Linked DNA regions of Rattus norvegicus. The protein of the gene in region 1 binds, or shares a complex with, the protein of each later gene. Links are inferred from orthologs where the notes say so. Each region holds a gene or a part of one and is shown in the gene's direction. Other genes may lie near its edges.

Evidence for each region.
Region 2: the proteins of Diaph1 (region 1) and Ppfia3 are in contact, whole or in part, in a crystal structure (PDB 4UWX), measured with the Mus musculus proteins. The link is inferred for Rattus norvegicus from reciprocal best matches to the Homo sapiens genes DIAPH1 and PPFIA3. Residues at the interface, in NP_031884.1 of Mus musculus: Lys252, Ser255, Ala256, Ile259, Gln307, Asn310, Ala311, Thr314, Pro315, Ala316, Glu317, Arg322, Gln352, Cys354, Val355, Glu358, Gln359, Glu362; in NP_084017.2 of Mus musculus: Pro719, Arg720, Arg723, Leu724, Arg726, Met727, Ala728, Ala730, Leu731.
Region 3: the proteins of Diaph1 (region 1) and Pfn2 are in contact, whole or in part, in a crystal structure (PDB 2V8F), measured with the Mus musculus proteins. The link is inferred for Rattus norvegicus from reciprocal best matches to the Homo sapiens genes DIAPH1 and PFN2. Residues at the interface, in NP_031884.1 of Mus musculus: Ile635, Pro636, Pro637, Pro638, Pro639, Pro640, Leu641; in NP_062283.1 of Mus musculus: Ala2, Gly3, Trp4, Ser6, Tyr7, Asn10, Ala28, Tyr30, Trp32, Arg108, Met131, Tyr134, Leu135, Ser138, Phe140.
Region 4: the proteins of Diaph1 (region 1) and Cdc42 are in contact, whole or in part, in a crystal structure (PDB 3EG5), measured with the Mus musculus proteins. The link is inferred for Rattus norvegicus from reciprocal best matches to the Homo sapiens genes DIAPH1 and CDC42. Residues at the interface, in NP_031884.1 of Mus musculus: Met90, Asp93, Met94, Asn95, Leu96, Lys100, Pro103, Leu104, Lys107, Ile111, Met115, Gln118, Tyr119, Thr122, Ser133, Tyr139, Ser158, Arg160, Val161, Ser162, Leu163, Pro167, Val168, Val171, Arg210, Lys213, Ala214, Asn217, Asn218; in NP_033991.1 of Mus musculus: Val36, Phe37, Gln61, Glu62, Asp63, Tyr64, Asp65, Arg66, Leu67, Pro69, Leu70, Pro73, Glu95, Lys96, Pro99, Glu100, His103, His104.

Annotation. Positions count from the first base shown.
Region 1 is NC_086036.1:29,977,818-29,983,577, reverse strand, and holds part of Diaph1 (protein diaphanous homolog 1), read left to right. Parts: intron 1-455; coding exon 456-564; intron 565-1,550; coding exon 1,551-1,661; intron 1,662-1,808; coding exon 1,809-1,927; intron 1,928-2,786; coding exon 2,787-2,903; exon of another isoform or gene 2,904-2,962; intron 2,963-3,884; coding exon 3,885-4,000; intron 4,001-4,711; coding exon 4,712-4,776; intron 4,777-5,760. UniProt on the Homo sapiens protein: Actin nucleation and elongation factor required for the assembly of F-actin structures, such as actin cables and stress fibers. Binds to the barbed end of the actin filament and slows down actin polymerization and depolymerization.
Region 2 is NC_086019.1:104,954,171-104,959,020, reverse strand, and holds part of Ppfia3 (liprin-alpha-3), read left to right. Parts: intron 1-796; coding exon 797-859; intron 860-1,020; coding exon 1,021-1,047; intron 1,048-2,055; coding exon 2,056-2,231; intron 2,232-2,745; coding exon 2,746-2,843; intron 2,844-3,270; coding exon 3,271-3,446; intron 3,447-3,527; coding exon 3,528-3,596; intron 3,597-3,781; coding exon 3,782-3,953; intron 3,954-4,287; coding exon 4,288-4,346; 3' UTR 4,347-4,359; intron 4,360-4,523; 3' UTR 4,524-4,850. UniProt on the Homo sapiens protein: May regulate the disassembly of focal adhesions. May localize receptor-like tyrosine phosphatases type 2A at specific sites on the plasma membrane, possibly regulating their interaction with the extracellular environment and their association with substrates.
Region 3 is NC_086020.1:144,219,359-144,225,873, reverse strand, and holds the start of Pfn2 (profilin-2), read left to right. Parts: upstream 1-2,937; 5' UTR 2,938-3,067; coding exon 3,068-3,199; intron 3,200-5,155; coding exon 5,156-5,348; intron 5,349-6,515. UniProt on the Homo sapiens protein: Binds to actin and affects the structure of the cytoskeleton. At high concentrations, profilin prevents the polymerization of actin, whereas it enhances it at low concentrations. By binding to PIP2, it inhibits the formation of IP3 and DG.
Region 4 is NC_086023.1:154,847,431-154,853,190, reverse strand, and holds part of Cdc42 (cell division control protein 42 homolog), read left to right. Parts: intron 1-1,841; coding exon 1,842-1,951; intron 1,952-2,054; coding exon 2,055-2,252; intron 2,253-5,760. UniProt on the Homo sapiens protein: Plasma membrane-associated small GTPase which cycles between an active GTP-bound and an inactive GDP-bound state. In active state binds to a variety of effector proteins to regulate cellular responses. Involved in epithelial cell polarization processes.

The DNA of each region.
Region 1 (5,760 bases):
ATTTAGAATTGGACCACATGTAATACACATTAGAAATTGATGGTACTGTTAATATCAAATGGTCCTTAAAAAGTCAGATAACTTGTTTGTTTGTTTGTTTGTTTGTTTGTTTGTTTTCGGAGCTGAGGACCGAACCCAGGGCCTTGTGCTTGCTAGGCAAGCGCTCTACCACTGAGCTAAATCCCCAACCGCAAGTCAGATAACTTGTATTTCACAGCTCAAAGACTTTAATTTTGTATTCGTGAGTAGAAGTCTAGGGATGGAGTTTAGGAAATTATTCTCTCCAAAGAGAGTCAGTTGCATTTATCAGTTTCTGGTATCAGTTGGGGTTAAGAAACTAATTTGAGAAATCTGAGGCACTGGTGGTGTCTTGTTTCCTAATTGGTTTGTTCCCTGTCACATTTCCCCATGCCTGTGTTAGTGCACCTAGCCAGTTCTTTCTGTTTTCTTGGCAGGAATGAACGAGTTTTAGAGGCTATGACAGAGAGAGCTGAAATGGAAGAGGTTGAACGCTTCCAGCCACTGCTGGATGGGTTAAAAAGTGGGACGTCTATTGCACTCAAAGTACGTATGTACCCTAAAACCTCTCCAACAGTAGAATAGAGTAGAATTCAAAATGGAAAGACCAGAGTTCATTTACCCTTCATTTTTCTATGGTATGGGAAATTGAACCTAGGGCTTTGCTTAAGCTGGGTAACTCCCCTATTACTGAACTACCACTGAGCAAGGCACTGGAGAACCCTTTTTAATTTTTTATTTCAGGATATTTTAATTTTGTTTTATAGCCTGGACTGGCCTCAAACTCATTATATAGTCCAGGCTAGACATATCTGATCCTCTTGTCCTAACCTCCCAATTGCCCAGGCTAGTCTTGGAGATCTTCCTCCCTTCCAAGGCACACAGGTCTACACCACCAGGTTAGTGTCATTTGGCTTTGTAATAGAATATATGGAGGCTGGAGAGTTGGCTCATCAGTTAAGAGCATATACTCCTCTTCAAGTTGAGTTTCCAGCACCCATGTCAGACAGCTCACAGCTGCCTGTAGCTCAGCTCCAGGGGTATTTGATACCTCTGGCCTCTTTGAGCACTGGCATGCATGTGTGCATACACACACACAGACACAGACACACACACTCACACACTAATGCACATAAAGTTGAAAATAATACAAATTTTAAGTCTTTATTAAAATATGTAATGTTCTCAGCTATACTTTTTATATTTTAGGTGTTTTTCCTAAAGGAAAATGATTTTTTTCTCTAAAAAACAGAGAACTACCTTTCTCCTTGTGATGTTGGTGGGATAAACCAGCTACTTATTAGTACCTTAGGAAAATGGAGGTTCTGTAGTAACATGTTATGTCCTTGGATTCATTTAAAAGCCTAAATTCTCCAGAGTTGTGTTCAGCGAGGTTTTGTTGCTCTAGTATGAACTTCCTCTCTGTAGTTTTTATTCTGTATCTTTTATGGAGCTCCAGAGTGTATATAAATAGGGGACTCCTTATCCATAAGGTTGACGGCTGACGTAGCAGCTGAATTTGCTTGTTTCAGGTGGGATGCCTACAGCTGATCAATGCTCTCATCACTCCCGCTGAGGAACTTGACTTCCGGGTTCACATCCGAAGTGAGCTGATGCGCTTGGGACTGCATCAAGTGTTGCAGGTAAGATGGAACCTTTCCTTAGGAAGGCTGCACTTCCCTCCTGCTCTTCCAGCCCTGGTCATCTCTGAGATGATTCTGGTTTTCAACTTAAACACCAGGTTGAAAGGCTTGGATTTGGGTTCTCTCACTACTTGCTGTCATTGGCAGGAGCTTCGAGAGATTGACAATGATGATATGCGAGTACAGCTCAATGTGTTTGATGAACAAGGGGATGAAGATTTCTTCGATCTGAAGGGACGACTGGATGATATCCGCATGGAGATGGAATATCCTTTTATGACTGATGACTGAGTTCAGGACAGATGATACATTTACTTACAGACTGAATGTATGGAATAGTCTGGAGAGTGATCACTTAGAATAAGGCCTAAGACTGGGAATGGTGGCACATGACTTGAATTCGTCTCCTAGCACTTAGGATCTCTTTTGAGTTTGAAGCCAGCCTGGTCTGCATAGTGAACTCCAGGCCAGGCCAGCTAAGCCTACACAGTGAGAGTCTGTCTCAAAAAAAAAAAAAAAAAAAAAAAAAAAAAAAAAAAAAAAAAATATATATATATATATATATATATATGTGTGTATATATATATGTGTGTATATATATATATATATATATATATATATATATATATAATACATAAAGCTATGTCTACATATTGCTGTTGGCTTTATTTACTTCAGCATAGACCAGGAAAGCTAGGAAAGGTGATTTCTTTAACATCAAGGCATCCATCAGCCTGTCACTCAAGTGCTAACGTAACATGTTTAGCCATATTGCTCTCACGTCCCAAAGTGTCCATCCAAATCTCTGTACACCTCCTACAGCACGATATCTTCCTGAGCTGTGGGGTGGTATGCAGAGCCCTCTGGACTGACAAGCAATAATACTATTACACAGTTGCCTACCTGCCACAAGTGACTTTGATGTGGTTCTATTTTTAGTTTCTTCAGTATGTATACTAGGATCCTGTGTTTGTGGACAATGCCACTCTTGGTTGAATGAACTAGTGATGTTTTAGGAACAGCTGTTGTAGTAGAAGTGGTATCTTGATACCCTCTGTTGGTTGACAAGAAACCTGTCAAACATCTTCTAATTACTTGATTTCCTTAGCCTGTCCTTTTTTCTACTGACTTTGGTGAAGTTTTCCAGATTATTTTAAACACAGTGAAAGATTCCAAGGCAGAACCACACTTCCTGTCTATCTTGCAGCATCTCCTGTTGGTCCGAAATGATTATGAAGCTAGGTAAGCTGATAATGTTGCATCTAAGTGGAAAAGCAGCATCCTTAAATTCAAAGATTGTTCTAGAAAGGTAAAAAGAAATGAAAAAAGACTGTAGATTAGATTCATTAGTCACAGATATAAAGGAAATTATCAACAGCTTGATTAACATACCAACTGCTTTAATTCAGTTGAAAGGTACCTCTTTGGATAGGTAATTGTGTATAAAGTAAAATGTCCTTAGGAGGAAGTGGGTAAGTGGGCTGAGGATGACAACAAAGAGATGGAAACTTAAAGTTGTTTCTGCTTTCTTGGAAGTAGAGATCGGCCGTTGCATGACAAGGATCATAAGGCTGGAGTCCAGCCTGGGTGTTGGGAAGCTGTGTACTGGCGGATGGAGAGACGGCTCAGTGGTTAACTAAGCATGCATGCTGCTCTTGCACAGGACCCACCAGTTCCCAGCCCTCACATTAGCCACACAAACCTCCTGTAATTCTGTGTGACACTTGTGACCTCCATGGCACTTTTATACATGTACACAGATACACGCAAAGAAAAAGAAATTAAGTGAGTGCATGTGTGTATGCACATGCATGTTAGCATTTATGTGCTTGAGGTTGAACTCAGCATGTTCCACATGCTCAGTACATGTTTTACCACTGAACTGCAGCCCCCAACCTGTAAGAGCTTTTGGGTATCTGAAGGAGAGAATGAAAGCTGATCTAGAGAGGAGAATTTGCTAACACAGCAGTAAGGCTTCAGTTAGCTTCATCAAAGCTCTTCCTGGAGTGTTTATCCATAATTCTTTTTTTCTTTTTTCCGGAGCTGAGGACCGAACCCAGGGCTTTGCGCTTGCTAGGCAAGCGCTCTACCACTGAGCTAAATCCCCAACCCCTTCCATAATTCTTTTTATTGTCAAAGCCACTAACTCTTCTTGATCCAGAATACTTCTGGAAGATACATTTTTTATTTCTGTTTGATAAATTTGTTTTGTTTCTTTCATAGGCCGCAGTACTATAAATTGATTGAAGAATGTGTTTCTCAGATAGTTCTACACAAAAATGGAACTGATCCTGACTTCAAGTGCCGGCACCTGCAGATTGATATTGAGGGGTTGGTTGGTAAGCGTGCTTTTCTACCCAGCTCCTCAGAACACTCAGCACTTGGACCTTTTGTTTTCATCGTTCAGTGAAACTTTCAGAGAAATCCTTCTAGTCTCTATTTCAGTTCTTTCTCAGTACACCCTCTTTGCTGGCATTGTTTCATCCTAAGTTTATTTCAGCACAGTGAAAATCTTGCCTTTTTTTTTTTTTTTTTTTTTTTTTTTTACAGGGACTTCAGGTATTTTCTGACTCTGCTGGTCTTAGAAGCACAAATGTCACACAAAGGCATCCTTCGTGTGATTTCTTTACCTTGCACTTTGAAATACTAGGCTAAGGGCCAGCATGGTGGCAATAAGTAGATGTGCCTGCATGTGGGCCTGAGGACCTGAGTTTGTGCCCCAGATTCTGTATGGTGGCAAGGAAGAACCACTTTTGATAGTTGTCATCTGACTTGCACACATGTGACATATACATACATAGACACTAAATACACACAAAATATGAAACAACTATATAAATAAAACTTAGAGGAAATTGTAAATTGTACTTAACTGAAACTCACATTTCTTGGTCTAGTGCTAGTGCAAACCATTAGGAGTGGCGTCAGCAACCCAAGTGACAGAAGAGTGCCCTTGAGTGTGTTTGAGGCTTAGGAGCAGAGACATCAACTTCGGCACTGAGACTTGACTTACTGCATTGTTTTCAGATCAAATTGCTTTTTCTTTTCAGATCAAATGATTGATAAAACGAAGGTGGAAAAATCTGAGGCCAAAGCTACAGAGCTGGAAAAAAAGGTGTGTATGAAGGCATAGGACTAGAGTTACCTTATGTGTGAAACTTGGGTTCATTCTCTAGCATCATCCACAAATATGTGTATATGTAACACACACACACACACACACACAAATAAATTTGGGATATATCTTTTTTCTTTGAAGATAATTAAGTTTTTTTGTTTTTTTTTTTGATATTTGAGACAGTATTGTCTATGGTATTTTAAAAGCATCCAGAATCCTAAGGTTCCTAGAGGAAAGTCTTTTTGTTAGTGGAAAAGGGGGTATTGGTGTGAAATGAGAAGCTAGAGGTGGTCTTGTGTAGTGTTTGGGCCACCAGACAAGACAGCAAAGACAGATGGTATTCTATGTAAGTGTGCATCTCAAGTTACTCCTAGGACTATAGGAACTGGAGTACGACTCAGTTCCTTTTATCATCTCTGTAGTACTTAAGGATTCCTTTTGTGGTTGGAATTGTGCACTGTAGCTGTCCTGGTTTATGTTAGTTAGGGTTATTATTGCTGTGACAAAAAGATTTTTGAGGGAGGAAAGGGTTTATTTCTTTCACATTTCCATATAAATGTTCATTATCTAAAGCAGTGAGGGCAAGAACTCATGCAGGGCAAGAACTAATGCAGAGACTGTAGAGGGGTGCTCCTTACTGGCTTGCTCCCCATGGTTTACTCAGCCTGCTTTCTTATAGAACCCAGGACTACAGGGATGGCCCCCACCCACAATGGGCTGGCCCCTCCTACATTGATCACTAATTAAGAAAATGCCTTATGGGGGTTGGGGATTTAGCTCAGTGGTAGAGCGCTTGCCTAGGAAGCGCAAGGCCCTGGGTTTGGTCCAGCTCCGGAAAAAAAAAAAAAAAAAAAAAAAAATGCCTTATAGCTGAATCTTACGGAGGCATTTTCTCAGTTGAGGCTCCCTCCTCTCTGATGATCTAGCATATCAAGTTGACATAAAACTAGCTAGGATGTGGTTAAAGGTCTTTCATGTCTT
Region 2 (4,850 bases), on another chromosome or scaffold:
TGGGATTACAGGCCTGCTCCACCATGCCAGGCTCCCAGGTTTGCCCAGCACAAGTGGCAAACCTCTTCCTGCTGGTATACCTCTCCCTTTGCCATGTCTGCTGTCACCTTCTCAGTCCTCACTGTGTATGACACCAGGGAGGTGACATCAAAGGCCCAGCCCCCCCCCAAAAAAAACCCCAAACTCCTTTTTAGATTTATTATGTGTATGGATGTTTTACCTGCATGAGTGAATGGGAGAGTGCCTGGTTTCCCTGAGACAATTTCTCTGAGTAGACCAGGCTGTTCTGGAACCCACTGTATAGACCAGGCTGACCCTCCTGCCTCTGCCTCCCAAGTGCTGGGATTAAAGGCTTGTGCCACACATGTTCTTAACTACTGAGTCTTCTCTCCATCCCTGAAATCTTTAAATTTAACTTTTATGAATACATTTATATTTATACATTTATATATTTATGAAATAAATGATCTCTCTCTCATCTCTCTCTCTCTCTCTCTCTCTCTCTCTGTGTGTGTGTGTGTGTGTGTGTGTGTGTGTGTGTGTGTGTGTGTTGGTGTCCAGCACAGAGCATGAGTGAAGACTAGCAGTCTACTTTCACCATGAAGGATAGAACTCGGGTCATTAGGCTTAGGGGCAAGCACCTTTACCTGCTGAGTCATCTTGCTGGATGGTTTCAAAGGGTTTCCTCTGGAACCCCAAACAGAATGAGCATAAGCCGATGAGCTAGAGTGGGGCGATTAGGAGACCATCTGTATTCTGTGTCATCACCCATTCCTTAACACCCTGCGCCCTTCAGCCCACAGGAAACGTGTGGATGACACACGAGGAGATGGAGTCTCTGACTGCAGCTACAAAACCCGTGAGTGCCTCCTGCTGGTAGCCCTGGGGGTGGCACTATTCCTACTGGGTGTGGGGGCTGGGAGGAGTCTGTCTGTTAGTGCATCGTCTGTCCCTTCTGTTCTCCTCTGCCTGTCCCCTTAACCCACCCCTTCTCTCCCCCTCTTCCCACTAACGGGTCAGGAGACCAAGGAGATCAGCTGGGAGCAGGTAGGGGTGCAGGGCGGGTTGGACGCATGAGCAGGTTGTGCACGCTGCATGGTCTTTCTGTTTCTCTGCGCCCCACCCCTCGTCTGAACATTCTAAGTCCCTGCCCTGAGGGGAAGGCTGCAGCGTGGAGCTCAGCTGTTCATAGTTCTTGTGTTCATAGTGGCTCGATGGGGGACAAAGTGGGCCCCTCAGTGTCTGCCTCCAGCCTGGCTATTCCATGGTTGTGGGTTGCTCGGAAGCTGGGGTTTGTGGGATTGCTGCAGCTGGAAGGAACTGCCCGGTATGGGAGGGGTTTGCATTGAGGGGATGGGGAAGAGGGCTGCCCTCACTGTTCAGGAGCTCTGCACAAGGGTTAGCTGTGCTAGTTATGGTGGCCTTGAGGTGGGCCAAGCAAGTGAGAGGCGGGGAGAACACAGTACATCGTGGCCTGGAGAAGAGAGACACAAGGTGCCCAGCTGGAACTTGCCAGGGGTGGAGACACCCGGTTGAACTCTGATCTGTTTCCTTGCCCTAAAGCTGCAAAAGACTTTGGGCTTGTCTCATAGCCTTATCCTAAACTGAATTGCTTGAACTAGTATTTTCCGGGTATTGCAACAGTGATGTCTGTGGGTGGCAGGAGAGCCACGCTGAAGTCCTGACTTTCCGGGTCTAGTCATGTTTGGGCTGAATGGATGCAGACCTGCAGGGCTGGGGGCCAGTTGATGGAGCCCTTGCCTAGTGAGTTCCAGCACCAAGCTGGAGTATGGGGTACACATCTGTAACCCAGCACTCAAAAGGGTGGAGGTAGGGGACTCTAGTGTCATCCTCAGCTTCACCAAAAGTTTGAAGCTAGCCTGGGCTACATGAGACCCTCAGCTGGTCCAGTGGTCCCAGTTGTAGAGCCAAACTGTTCTGTGGTGGGAAGAGAACTAGTTTGGGATGGGGGGTGGCTGGACTTTATCCTTTCCCTATGCATATGGGAAGGGACAAGAAGGTCTGACCCCCTCCCTCACCTGCCCATGGCCCCAGATCCTGGCATATGGCGACATGAACCACGAGTGGGTGGGCAACGACTGGCTGCCCAGCCTTGGGCTGCCCCAGTACCGAAGCTACTTCATGGAGTCGCTAGTTGATGCTCGGATGTTGGACCATCTGAACAAGAAAGAACTGCGAGGCCAACTCAAGATGGTGGACAGCTTCCACAGGTGGGGGCTGCCTGGCCAATGGGAACAGCCCAAGGGGAAGAAGTCATAGCCCTTTAGAGAAACTTTGGCTAATGGGAAGTTCCATTAAATTTTCGCTTGGTGTTCCTTGAACCAAAGATGATGGTCCATAGAAAAATTGATAACTGGTGACCTGCTACTGGGGAGGCTGGAGGACTACAAGTTTGATGTTAGCCTGGCTACAGAGTGAGTTCAAGCCCAGGAAGTGTTAAAAGATCTTGGAGAGAGAAAGGGAGACAGAGAGAGAAACACAAGCAAGAGAACACAAGTAACCAGTACGGCACTGGGACTTCGTGCTTCTGCCTAGTATAGGTCACACATGTGCACGCACGCATGCACGCTCACACACACACACACACACACACACACACACACACACGGGACAGAGGAAGGGAGGGAGGGGGAGAAGGGAGGGAGGGAGAGAGTTAGTTCTGTAAGGGCAACAACAGTGGCCTCGGGAAGGCTTCTAGGTGACTCAGTTTCTCCAACTGCTCAGGGTTAGTCTGCACTATGGTATCATGTGCTTGAAACGGCTCAACTATGACCGGAAGGATCTGGAGCGAAGGAGGGAAGAAAGCCAGACCCAAATCAGAGGTGAGGTCCTGTGGGAGATATGTGGAGGGGCAGACTGAACGGCGGAAAGCCAGAGAAACCAAGAGCTACTAGAAACCGGGGAACCACTATGGGGGCGTGGCCAGACAATAAAATGAGTGTGGAGTTATGTGTGGCTGGACATGGCCACTGGGGCGCGCTATCACACAAGGGGTGGAGCCGGAAATAGGGGCTGGGCCAAGAGAGACTATGAACCTGTTCTCTAGGAGGCGCTGTTCCCAGAAATAATGAGTAGAACCAGTGTGGGGCGTGGCTAGGGAGGGTAATGGGAGTACGGGCCTAGCTGTCCAGTTTCATAGATGACGGATGCAGCGGCATAGAGACCTAGCTAGGAAAGGAAATAAGTTAGGTTAATTTGGCAGGGCTGGCCACTGGGAGGTGCACAGTTAAGAGTCCCTTTCTTCCCCAGATGTGATGGTGTGGTCCAACGAACGGGTCATGGGTTGGGTGTCTGGTCTTGGCCTGAAGGAGTTTGCTACGAATCTCACCGAGAGTGGGGTGCACGGAGCCCTGTTGGCTCTGGATGAAACCTTCGACTACTCCGACCTGGCCTTGCTTCTACAAATACCTACACAGAATGCACAAGTGAGATTTGGCTGGTCAGCAAACATGCCGGGTATCCCCACCTGTATGCTCCAACTAACCTCTTCCCCCTTTTCTTTCCAGGCTCGGCAACTGCTGGAGAAAGAATTCAGTAACCTCATCTCCCTAGGAACAGACAGACGGCTGGATGAGGTGGGCGTGGCAATGAGGTCTTGTTTCCAATTGCACTTACAAATCCGAGATGAAGGGGTGGGGCTTGGTGTTGCCAACCAAATGTGGCTGGATGTTGAGCTTAGTGAGGGTCACTATTAATGCAGAGGGGTAGAGTCAGAACTTGTGCCCTCCTCCCTCACCTTGGGTTCCTATCAAACAATTAGGACAGTGCCAAGTCCTTCAGCCGCTCCCCATCCTGGAGGAAGATGTTCCGTGAGAAGGACCTCCGGGGTGTAACCCCCGATTCAGCCGAGATGTTACCCCCCAACTTTCGTTCAGCTGCAGCAGGAGCCCTAGGCTCACCGGGACTCCCACTCCGCAAACTGCAGCCTGAAGGTAGGGGACTCTTAAAAGTGACAGTCCAGACCCTATTCATGTGTTAAGACAACCTCCATCTGGTCTAGCCTACCTGCCTGGGCTACAGGCAGTCAAGACAGTCCGGCTGCTTAGTAAGATTGTTTCAAAAAGTAAAAAGAGAGCTGAACAAGTAGCTCACTGGTGAAGGAACCGCCTAGAATTCCACTTTGAGGAGCTGGGGGTGTGGTTCAGCGGAGGGCTTTTGACTGGCAATTCCGTGGTCCCGCCTTCAATCTCCAGTATTAGGGGGGAGTGGGTGTTTCCTAGGGTACACTAGGGTAGTTCCAGATTGAAGCGCCGTTGCTCTCTCTAGGCCAGACTTCTGGGAGTTCACGAGCAGACGGTGTTTCGGTCCGGACTTACTCCTGCTAGTGTGCACCTCCAGGTGAGGACTCGGCCAGGTGATTTTTAGGGTTCAGGGTGGTGCCACGGGAACGCGGGATGGCGTACCAGATGGTTCCCACTCTGTGAACTGTCTGACCTCAATGCAAGTGACTTCACTCCGAAGAAGACCCTTCCGAAGGCTGGGCCGTTTTCCCTCCTTTCCAGAGTATTGTCTAGCCAGAGACCGCCGTGAGGGAGCTCGCCCCTGCGGACTGCACCACCTACACATACCAGCCGGGTGTGCGTGTTCCCGCCTCCCAAATGGACTGGGCCTGGACCAAACCACAAGAAATGGACTTAAAGGGGGCAGCCGAAGAAGAGGACAGGAAGAAATCCCACCCCAAACTTCCGCCTCCCTTTTCTCTACTTTGTAATTTATTAATCCGTTTCGAATGGGAGCCAGGCGCCCTGCACCTGTGGAAAGGGGGCGGGGCTTCCCTCTCGGGCCGCATGCGGGGAGATGCCACCCCTCCCCTTTCTATTGCCCAGTCG
Region 3 (6,515 bases), on another chromosome or scaffold:
ACTGAGTTATGTCAAACAGAGTTACCTTCCTGCCTCCAGGGAATCACTACCTCAAGTGGCCACCACCCCTACCACAGTCCTACAAAAAACATAGTTTCTATAATTCTGCAAATTAGTATCTTTTCTATTATCTTATTCAATGTTTAAATTTACTGGATTATAGAATGCATAAAGGAGATGAATTCTAAACATTATCATTTTATAAATTTTCACAAAATAAGCATATCTATTTCATTGGCTGTCATCAGGTAACAGGTTTCACTGTGTAGCCCTGGCTAACCAATAACACTATATGTAGACATGGCCTGTACTGGCTGGTTTTGTGTGTCAACTTGACACAAGCTGGAGTTATCACACAGAGACTCCCTTAAAGAAATGCCTCCATGAGATCCAGCTGTAGGGCATTTTCTCAATTAGTGATCAAGGGTAGGGGGGCCAATTGTGGGTGGTGCCATCCCTGGGCTGGTGGTCTTGGGTTCTATAAGAAAGCTGAGCAAGCCAGGGGAAGCAAGCCAGTAAGTAACATCTCTCCATGGCCTCTGCATCAGCTCCTGCTTCCTGATCTGCTTGAGTTCCAGTCCTGACTTCCTTTGGTGATGAACAGCAATGTGGAAGTGTAAGCTGAATAAACCTTTTCCTCCCCAACTTGCTTCTTGGTTATGATGTTTGTACAGGAATAGAAACCCTAAGACATAACCTCAAATTTAAGAGTTCCTCCTGATCCTGCCTTTCTAGAGCTGGGATTAAAGATATGTGACACCACACCCTGCCCCATCTTTAATTGCTTAAAAAAGATTTATTTTGTGTATCTTGGTATCTTACTTGCATGCATATATATGTATACTACCTGCATGCTTGGTGCCACAGATCCCCTGGAACTGGAGTTACAGTTGTGAGCTGCCACGTGGGTGCTGATAATTGAACCTGGTACCTGTAGAGGAGTATCCAGTCCTAACCTCTGAACCATTTCTCCCCCCATCTTTAGTTTTTAAGGTGATAATAAAAGTTAAGAAGTAAGAATTAAAATGGTTGTGGCAAAAAAGGCAGAATAAGAAATAGGAAAGAGTGAGGGAGATTAAATCAGGTGAGGACACAATGGCAGAAGTGGATGGATTCCTTTATAAGGAGAATTCTCTATCTTCCAAACATGAGGACAAATAATCTCTACTTGACAGTTGACTACTCTGTTGTTGGTCCTACTCGAGGTGGCTTGAATGAGAATGGCCCCCAAAGGCTCATATATTTGAATGGATAGTCATCAGGGAGTGACACTACTTGGGAAGGATTAGTAGGTGTGGCCTTGTTGGAGGAAGTGTGGTACTGTGGGTGGGCTTTGAGGTTTCCAAAGTCCAATTCAAAACCAGTGATGCTCTCTTCCTGCTACTTTGGGATCCAGACATAGAACTCTCAGCTATTTCTCCATATCATGCCAGACTGCATACTTCCAGGCATGATGAGAATGGACTAAACCTCTGGAACTGTAAGCCAGGCCCCAATTAAATGCTTTCTTTTATAAGAGTTGCTGTGGTCACAGTGTCTCTTCATAGCGATCAGAACTCTAAGACATTATTTTTTTTAAAGCCCAATAAATAAATAATAAATAAAAGTTCAGTGATGCTATTATAAAATTGTCAGTGTGCTCCACAACTTTAAACTTGATGATAGTTTGCAATCTACTGGAGCTTTCTTTCCCTTAATAAGCAGGTCGGGTTTGTCACCTCAAACTGGTCATCGTTGGGGAACATCTGATGCTGAGTCTAGACCCAGCACATAAAGTTAATAAAGATGTAGGAGAATGTTCGGAGACTCTTAAACCATTTCCCACCCTGTCATATACAAGTCTTCCTCGGATGTAGATTCTGAATTATTTTCACCATTTAGTACAGTGGGTCTCAACCTGTGGGCCTCAAACCCTTTGGGGGCACATATCAGATATTTACATTATGATTCATAACTAGCAAATTTACAGTTATGAAATAGCAACAAAATAATTTATGGTTGGGGGGTTAGCACAACATAGGTAACTGTGTTAAGGGGTCACGCTCAGCATTAGGAAGTTTGAGAACCACTGGTCTAGTTCAATGAATCTTTTCTAGCTCGACTATTCTTTGTATTTCGTGGATGTATTTAACGCACAGTAACTTTTCCAGTTACCAAGTACGCATAGGGTCTGGTTTTTTTGTTTTGCTTTGCTTTGCTTTTTTTAGTTAGAATTTCTGGACCGTTGAGCCCCATGTGTGATTAGCAGCACTGCGTTCAGGGCAAAAGCTCCACTGAACCTGGAGTTCCTCGTACTCAAAGGAGGCAACAAAGAGCTGCGCTGCTCCGTTGCCACTGCTCTGATTTCAGGAGCGTGCGAGGCGCAGCTGGCCAAGGTCTTTCAAGAGACACCTCCCCAAGTGTGGGCAACCCGCACTGGCCGCTCCCACTACAAAGAGTAAACCCTCGTCTGCATCCCGTCACCAGGGCAACCCTGCCACCCGACACCGGTGCTGTCAATAAATACCGCGTCCAGGGCTGGCACTTGAGGAGTGAGCACCGCGGCCGCCGTGCACCCAGAGCTCTGGCACCCTACGGCGCCCACTCAAGCTGCCTCGCCTCATAGCCTGCGGTGAAGCCTCCGCCGCCGCGCCCCAGCCCTGCTCCCGCTCGCCTGCCGCACGTGTGGGCCGTGATTGTCCCCGGCGGTATCCCTCCGCGCCCCCGCCTCAGCTCTCCCGCCCTCCCCGGGACCCTCGCCGGCTGCGCTGCGGAAGGATCGCACGCACGCGCGTACACGTCCCGCTGGCCGCGGAGAGCCGAGGGAGCTGCGGTGTGAGTCGGCCGTCGCCAGCCCCGCTGCAAGCGTCGCTCAGCCGCTGGCCCCTGAGCCCCGCGGCCGCGGCCGCCCGGCGCTCCCCGCTGCGGGTCCTGTCCCCGCCCGCCGCAGTTCCCCGGAGAGGGGCGGTCGGTGCCTGCGCAGAGCCGCCTCCTCCCCGCCCCCGCCCCGCCTCCACCGCCGCCGCCGCCGCCGCTGCTGCTGCGCCTCTGCTCCTGCCGTCCCCGCTGCAGTGCGAAGGGCTCGAAGATGGCCGGTTGGCAGAGCTACGTGGATAACCTGATGTGCGATGGCTGCTGCCAGGAGGCCGCCATTGTCGGCTACTGCGACGCCAAATACGTCTGGGCAGCCACGGCCGGGGGCGTCTTCCAGAGCATCACGGTGAGGCCCGGGGGCGCCGAGCCGGCAGGTGTGCGGCGGGCCTGAGGAAGGGGACGCCCGCCCGCGAGGAAGGGGATGAGGCCGGGGCTGAAGGATAGGGTACCGCCGGCTGAGGAAGGGCATGCAGCCGGGGGGGCCCCCGTGCCAGCCGCTGAGCCTGGGGATGCTGCCCGAGGCCGCGCGGGGGCGGGGCGGCCGGACTCTTCGCCCCGGCGGCGCCCCGGCTTGCGGCTGCCAGGGTGGAGGAGGGGACGTCACCCCGGGAGGCCCCTCAGCGTTCGGGGAGCCCGGCGGGCTGCAGTGCAGGTCCCCGGGTGTGGGCGGGAGGTCCTAGGCAGCAGGCTGGCCCTGGCTCGGCAGTGTGCGCGGGATGTGGGTGGCGGCGGTGGCCGGGTCCCGGGAATTAATGGAGTGACTTTGCGTAGGCTTGCGGGTGTCCAGGCCTCCTAGGCTGGAGAGAAAGGTACGCGGACCACGTAGGTGGAATCGTGAATCTACTTCAGCTGTGGCTCTATAGTTTTTTTTTTCCTCCAAGATGGCGAACTGCCATTGATTTCTCTTCTCCACCTATAGAGATTCATCGATATACTGTTATCCCCAGTTACGCAACATAGCTCTAAAAAGGGGATGGTTTAAGGGTGATTTAAAAAAAAAATCTGGGGAGTCGCTGGGGGGGGGTGACACTTCTCAAGTCACTCCCTCTTTAGTGATGGTAGTAAAAGAACTAATACCGATATCTGCTTCACGTTGTCTCATCTTCATGTGACTTGATGGCATTTGACTCGGTTGCCACACGTTTGGAGTATATTCGTCAATCAGCCTCCAGCACTGCTTATTGTTATGCTCGTTTCTATGCAATGCTCTTCTTTAAAATTTTGGCACCAGTATCAAGTACAAGACCATTCCCTTAATTTCTTAGTTCCACACTCCCACTCCCTTCCCATCACCTAGGAAAAATCAAGTCCCATATCACAGGTGCTCAGCATTTTACTACTTAACATGGTTTAATATATCAGTGTGGATTCAGTCCATGATAGGAGTGCTTTAAGATCTCCTGTCCCCATGTGAGAGATCACAATTCCTACAGCGAATTGACATTTGGTGATTTAACTTTTTTTTTCTGCAGTCTTGCCTTTGTGTGTGAGTTCCCGCTGTCTGGCTTAAGAAGATTGCGGGAGTATGCTTGGAAATGGCTGGGGCCTGCTATGACTCTGCAGTTCTGATGGGGGCGACGCCTTCCTTCTTATTCATGGAATGTTAGAATGAACGTATTCTCTTTTCTATTCTGCCGGCTAACTCACTTTCCTTACCAATGCCCCTCCATTTTCTCTCTGATTTTACTATTGGTTACTGCAGTGCTGTAGACAGACTCCACACTGCATTTGTCCAGAAGGAAAAGCTGATTATTGAATGGAAGGGCAAGGCAAGTTGGAGAGAAAAAAGTGGCTAGAAAAATAGGAGGGAAAAACGAACTTGGAAATGCCCCACAGTGATGGAGGTGGTGTTTGAGGCTCACACTGCCAGGGATATTTCAATCTGCTCGAAACAGAGAAGTGAGCAGGTTTATCTGGGTAGACTTTCACTCAACTTTAACTTTGATGCAACATGACTAATGTGGCTGAATGTGACAGACAAGCTTTTGTAAGAGCTTATAGCTGAATCTTTACAATTACATAAGCACCTTCAAGTAGCACCTGACTTGATATAGTTTATAAATAACTCAATTTCAGTTTGTAGCCGGTGTCAACTGCCAACTGTTTAGGGAGACTCTTTGTACCGTTGCTATACTCTGGCTTTTAGTTAGCAGACCTCACTGCAAAAGCAAACTAATGTGTAAATCATGTAACCGTGTAATGATAAAAACAAGAACAATCAAGATATTTACATCAGCACACAGTTTGTTGTATCAAATTCTGATTAACTGTAATTTTTTTCTTCTTTGTTTTGGGTGGCCAGCCAGCAGAAATAGATGTGATTATAGGAAAAGACCGGGAAGGTTTCTTTACCAATGGTTTGACTCTTGGAGGAAAGAAGTGCTCTGTGATCAGAGATAGCCTATACGTTGACTCGGACTGCACAATGGACATCCGGACAAAGAGTCAAGGTGGGGAGCCAACATACAACGTTGCTGTTGGCAGAGCTGGGAGAGGTAAGCAAGCTGGTTTTTTGTGCCTGAAAGTTGCATGCCACGTTAGAACTTGGGTTTCTTTAATGGTTTAAGTAAAGATTCGTTCCTAGAGACTCTTAAGGGGGTTTGTGAGCTGCTCAGCACTGAAGGCTGGCACTGCTACCATCTCGTCTGTTTCAGAGTGGTGCGTACGCGCCTCACTCCTCCCCCTGACTGCTGTAAACTGCCACAGCTTTAGTAATCTTAACAATGGAAAGTTGCCTCTTAAGCCGTCATGTTAGGATGCTGGGGTATATGTGGTTGTTAAACTGTTCTGGTCACTTAGTTATTTTTGTGTCTAATTAGTCTTGTAGAGCTCTCCTTTAATGTTTCCTTAGATTTGAAATCCGTTCCCTGCTCATCATAAAAAGGAAACAATCACATTGTTTTATTTTTCTGCCAGGAACATTTCGGAAGAAGAGAGAAATAATCTAGAGTTTTAGAGTACATGTCCCATTTATTAAAATACTTCCAAAGAATGAGATTTTAATTTGAAAAGTAGGAAACTACATGCAGTTTATATACTTGGCCCACAAACTCTGGTACCAGTTTCTAGACTTGGTAATAAAAATTCTGATCTCAATATGGCGTAAAAAATTTAATATTTCATAGAGAACCTTTGAGATTGAAATTTACACTGGCATCTCACTGACAAATACATTTATGCATTAACTTGTATAACTGCATCATTTGGCAAAGTTAGCACACAACAGTTCTGCAGTGTGAGCCTAGTGAGTTATAATTTAATGCTGTGGGTGTCTGAGGTGTGATTTGTTTCATAAACAAATCACATAAAACAAGATAACTTTAAAACATACAAATCTTAAGTTTTAGCTGTGTCCAGATATATAAGATGCTAAGCTTGGGAAAATAAATGCATCAGCTGAAGGGCTGGAGAGATTGCTTAGTGCATAACAGCCATGACTGAGTTCTCTTCCCAGCACCCACACAGCAGCTCACAATTGTGTAGCTACAGTCCAGGGCTCTGATGCCCTCTTCTGACCTCCAAGGACACGAGACACATGTAGTATATACGTATGTATGACAAACACACATATGCATTTAAAAAAAATCAACACTTGAAGCCAAATGAAATGAAACTTTTTTTTACCATAAAACACTGCTGACATCTAGTGGCAGTGAGTATAT
Region 4 (5,760 bases), on another chromosome or scaffold:
TTTTTAACACTGGGTAAACATCTTCATTTTTCTCTGTAGTCTCTTAAACAAAAGAAAACAAAAAAACCCACCAGGGTCTCACTGTGGCCTTGCTATCTTGGAACTCTTTATGTGGATCAGGCTGGCCTTGAACTCACAGATCTACTTGCTTCTACTTCTCAAGTAGTGGCATTAAAGGCATGTGCCACTATTCCTGGCCAATTGCATATACCCATTTAAAAATCATTCTTCAAAAGTTTTTTTTTAAATTTTTATTTATTTTTTAAAGATTTTATTTATTTTTTATGTATGTGGATACACTGTCACTGTCTTCAGACACATCAGGAAGAGGGCATCAGATTCTATTACAGATGGTTGTGAGCCACCATGTGGTTGCTGGGAATTGAACTCAGGACCCCTGGAAGAGCAGTCAGTGCTCTTAACCACTGAACCATCTCTCCAGCCCATCTCCGCTTTTTTTTTTTTTTTTTTAAATAAATTGGCTTTGTTTGTGATTTGGTTAACTCTTTGCTTTCTAGTTATTCTCTCATCCAGATCATAGTTCTTTTTTCCCTTTAAGACATCCTACCGACCTGTGTGGTGTGTGTGTGTGTGTGTGTGTGTGTGTGTGTGTGTGTGTGTGTGTGTGTGTATGTATGTATGTATTTGTTTTTATATTTAGTCATTCACCCAGTGTCGTCCTGCATATGAGCATAGGCTGTCTTTCCATTTCTTGGGGCTTGTTATGTTCAGCAGTTTTTCGCTGTTTTTATTTTGTGACTCTTATCTTTGGTTAATTTCTAAGTATTTTATTCTTCTTACATACCTTTCATTCTTCCAAGTTCATTTTTTCTAGGCCATTCCAGTTACAGAGTGGCTTTAACATGCACGTGTGGACCAAGCCTTGCGCTTGGCTTGGGCATTATTATGGATGCCTTCAGTACAGTACTTATTAGTGGGCTTGCTGTGATCATTATGTAGCCAGAAGTAGGTATGATATTTTTAAACCACACCTGTGGCAATAGTTTATTGTTGTTATATTATTACTGAGTTATAGAACTAAAAAAAGTAAAAAGAAAATATGTCAGTTTTCCTTTGTAAGTTATTGGTATATATAAATAGAATTAGCACAGAAAGTGTTGTCCAAACAGTATGTTACTAAGCCGTAGCTTTGTCACTAATGGCTCATATGCTAAGAGCTACACACTCGAAGTGTTGTCAGAGCTGTAGTTTTCCTCCCCCCTTCTTCTTTGAAACAAGAACCTTACTATGTAGTTTTGGCTGTCTCAGAGCTGTCTTTGTGGACCAGGCTGACCTCAGACTTGTGGTGATCTCCTGCCTCTCCTTCCTGTGTGCTGGGTTTATGGGCATCGCCCATATCTCCATATTCTTTTTCCTTTTAAATTACATTTATTTATTTATGTGGAAGCACATGCCATAGTATACATATGTGGAGGTCAAGAAGCTAAATTTGGGAGAGTTGGTTTTTTTCCTTTCACCATCTGTTCCCTGGAGACTGAGTTCAGGTTGTTAGGCATGGCAGCCACCATCCTTACCACTGAGTGATCTTGCTAGCTCCACTATGCTCGTCTTTAATTTTTTTTTTTTTTTTTTTTTTTTTTTTGATATATGATCTCATGGTTACACTTAACCTTCCTGCCTGCGTCTCACTAGTGCTGAGATTATAGGCTTGTGCCAACCATGCCTGGTTTTAATGTGGTATGGGGATTGAATCCAGGGCTGTATGCATGCTAGGTTATCACTCTATGTACTAAAGAGCTATAGCTGTAGGCCTTGACTATAATTTTAATGCCACAAGGATACCAGATTTCAGTTGCTGACCTCTTTAACTTTTTCTTTAGGGCAAGAGGATTATGACAGACTACGACCGTTAAGTTATCCACAGACAGATGTTTTTCTAGTATGTTTCTCAGTGGTCTCTCCATCCTCATTTGAAAATGTGAAAGAAAAGGTAAGTCAGGTCCTGCCTCCTTCAAACCTGCACAGAATTTCTGTTACCCTTTTATAGTGTCAGTGGCTTGTAGATTAACAGCATTTTAAAACCTTGTTTTTAGTGGGTGCCTGAGATAACTCACCACTGTCCAAAGACTCCTTTCTTGCTTGTCGGGACCCAAATTGATCTCAGAGATGACCCTTCTACTATTGAGAAACTTGCCAAGAACAAACAGAAGCCTATTACTCCAGAGACTGCTGAAAAGCTGGCGCGGGATCTGAAGGCTGTCAAGTATGTGGAGTGTTCCGCCCTCACACAGGTAAGGGCTCTGCAACCCATGTCTCTGTGTAGTCAGTTGTTTGGAGCATGAGGATACAGAGGCTCTTCTCCTTTTATTATTTTTTCCCTTAAAAATTTGTCTGTGAATGTATACTGTGTGAGTGTAGTGGGGTGGGATGGGGTGGGTAGGGCTTCTGAGCTGGAGAAGTTTAGGGTAAGAAGTGGGTGAGGAGAGCTAGGACACCAGCATGGACTCTGAAATGTGGAACAGAGCCTGGAGGCCAGGATGCACTTGGTTATGCTAATAAGTACCAAAGGTAGCCGTTTGTCTCTTCTGCCAGTAATAAGGAAATGGTTTCCTGAGGAGCGAGGGCTTTTATCCGACTGTCACAATTTGGCCCTGACATTCCAGCCTTTCGTTTGTGATAGGGGCAATGTAGCTACTTCTTAGCTGAAATTAAGGGCTCAGGGACACTGGGATGCCTGGTTAAGGCTGGGAGGTAAGGGAGGTTAGGGTGCTGTGAGCAGTCTGGAATGCTGGGCCAAAGCAAGTGCTCAAGTCAGACAGTTTATATCGGCTCTCAGAAAGTTCAGGGCTTGCTGATTGTAAAGGACCACCTGAGGCTGGCATGTTTGGAGCAGTTTACATTCTTCCCTTGATTGGAAATCGGTGGGAACAGATACAGACTAAGAACAGAATGTAAAGATGAGGAGCTTAGGGGAAAATCTTCATCTAGGGTTTACACCTAAAACTTCCAGGCCTGCGGTCCTGGTAGTTGGGTGGGTATGATGGTGAAGGGAGTCTAAGAACAGGGAAGGAGAGAGTCTACTCTCAAGAGATAGGCAGTAGGGGTTGGGGATTTAGCTCAGTGGTAGAGCACTTGCCTAGCAAGCGCAAGGCCCTGGGTTCGGTCCCCAGCTCCGGAAAAAAAAGAGAAAAGAGATAGGCAGTAATAGGCAGGAACACTGAAACTGTTGATTATCGGGAATACTTAATTTGGAGCCTGTTTGACCTGTGACAGGTGGATCTGAGTGTCAATTTCTTAAAGCTTATGTGAATTTTACAAAGTTCACAAAAAGGTAAAAGTTGTAGATAATTGGCATTACTGCTATTTGTAATCTGCAGTGAAGTCCCCATTGTAGAAAAAGCAGTGTCTGTAAGCCAGAGATATTTTCAGCACAGTGAGAAACACGTTTAAATGTATATTTAGAAGACCAAAAGAAAGTAAAAATTTTGAGCCTGTGCCTATTATTAGAGTAGTCAGTGCTCTATCAGGGCTAGATCAATAGTTTATCAGAGCTCCATTGTTTAATGTTACAACTTTGAAGTTTTGAAGTCTTAATATAACAATAGCATAGTGAGCAGGAAAGAAATCTGAAACGTTTCTCACTTTTCACATGCCTTAAATCACTTCCTCATATCTTTCCAGATTACATCTACACACTTTAAATCACTTTAATAGACTCTCCAACTTAGTTAAGTGTTCATATCCTAGGAACTTTTTTTTTTTAAAGATTTATTTTATTCATGTGAGTACACTGTAGCTGTCTTCAGACACACCAGAAGAGGGCATCGGATCTCTTTACAGATGGTTGTGAGCCACCATGTGGTTGCTGGGAATTGAACTCAGGACCTCTGGAAGAGCAGTCGGGTGCTCTTAACTGCTGAGCCATCTCTCCAGCCCCCTCCTCGGAACTTTTTAATTTGCATCTGTACACTTTTTTTCACTTTTTTTTTTTGGAGCTCAGGACTGAACCCAGGGCCTTGCGCTTGATAAACAAGCACTCTACCGCTGAGCTAAATCCCCAACCCATGTACACTTTAAATTACTTTCTTAGACCCCTACAAATTACATTATCATTCACATCCTCACACCTTTACAGCTTGCACTTACTGGGGTTACAGAAGTTGGGAACCACCTTTAATGTTGCTGGGAATGGAACTCCAGCTCTCTGGAAGAGAGGGAAGCACTGTCAGCCATGGAGCCATCTTTCCAGCCCCCCTTTCTTTCTACTGATTGCTATGTAGCCCAGGCTGACCTTATACTTGTCTTGTAGCCCAGACTAGTGTGGAATTTGTGGCAGTCCTGCCTCAGCCTCTTGAATCCTGGGGTTACAGAATTGCACCACCAAGCCTGGCTTTATAGAGATAAGGTGTTCAGCAGTAGTGCTCAAGAAGAACATGCCTGGCTTCCGTATGTTGTTCTGTGAGAGGACTGTGTTTATGGAGAGCCTGGTTAGTCTTTTAAAGGCCTGCATTGCTTACCTTCCAAGTTGTACTTTTGTTGAATGATTTGGAGTTAGGAAATATAATGTAGTGAGGGGGTACCATGGTTCCCATGGCAAGGTGTGCCCCTGAGTAATTACAGCATGCAATACATCTGGAATAAAGGGGGTTTATTGGGGGAAAGAGAGAGGAATGAGAACTTGGGAAAAGGAAGAGGCAGTGAGTGAGCCATGAGGGTATAAAGAGGGGGGCGGGAAAGAGAGGCCACTGAGAACACACATGCGGTGGAGTGGCGTGGTGGCTGTAGCAGGTGATGGCCTCAGAAGATGATGTAAGCTGTTGGTAGGTCTCTGGGAGGAGCCTAATAGAATTGCCTGTAAGCTAACATTCCTCCCTTTTGTTTGATTAAAAATGAAGAACTAGGGAGGGGTGATGGTAGAGCAGGAGTTAGGGTATTGTGTTCTTTAGACTTCCTGCTGGTAGGGGTGATGTCATCTTTGGGGAGCCTAAGAAAATTGGGATGCTGGTCATGTTGTTGTAGAGCTCAGCTGTTTGATGGTTGTCTGGGATCTGTGGGACCATTTGCAACTTGGAAAGTGCAGGTCTAGTTGAAATAGTCTGTGAGGCTGGACTGGAGCATCTGTGGGTAACTGCTTTGGAGCTGTCCTGGATGCAGATTTTGAGGAAACACCTGGACTTTGCAGGATCTGGAATTAAACACACACACACACACACACACACACACACACACACACACACACACACTGTAGCTGTCTTCAGACACACCAGAAGAGGGCATCAGATCTCATTACAGATGGTTGTGAGCCACCATGTGGTTGCTGGGATTTGAACCCAGGACCTCTGGAAGAGCAGTTGGTGCTTTTAACCACTGAGCCATTTCTCCAGCCCGAGAAAATTTATTCTTGAGTGTAGATTTGAAACCTGAGTCCTAAAACTAGGGAAAGGGGAAGGAATCCCACCCCTTGGAACAGGCAATAGGTAGGAAACTTAGGCTGTTGATTGACAGGGGTACTTATCTAGAGTCCATTTGACCCATGAGAGGTAGACCAAAGTGCATTCTTTGAAGCTTACAATAATCTTTTTAAGTTTACCAAAAGATAAATTTTAGACATGTTAGCAGTACCTCTGTTTATAATCTGTACTGAAATCCACATTGTAGAAAAGCAGTGGACACAAATCTGTGTCATAGTAGAGGCTTGGGAACTGATTTTGTGTTAAAAGTATGAACGAATACTCTTTAAGGTGAGCTTAGAGAAGACAGAAACCTTCTATGGAACAGAAAGGACAAAAGCTCACTTGA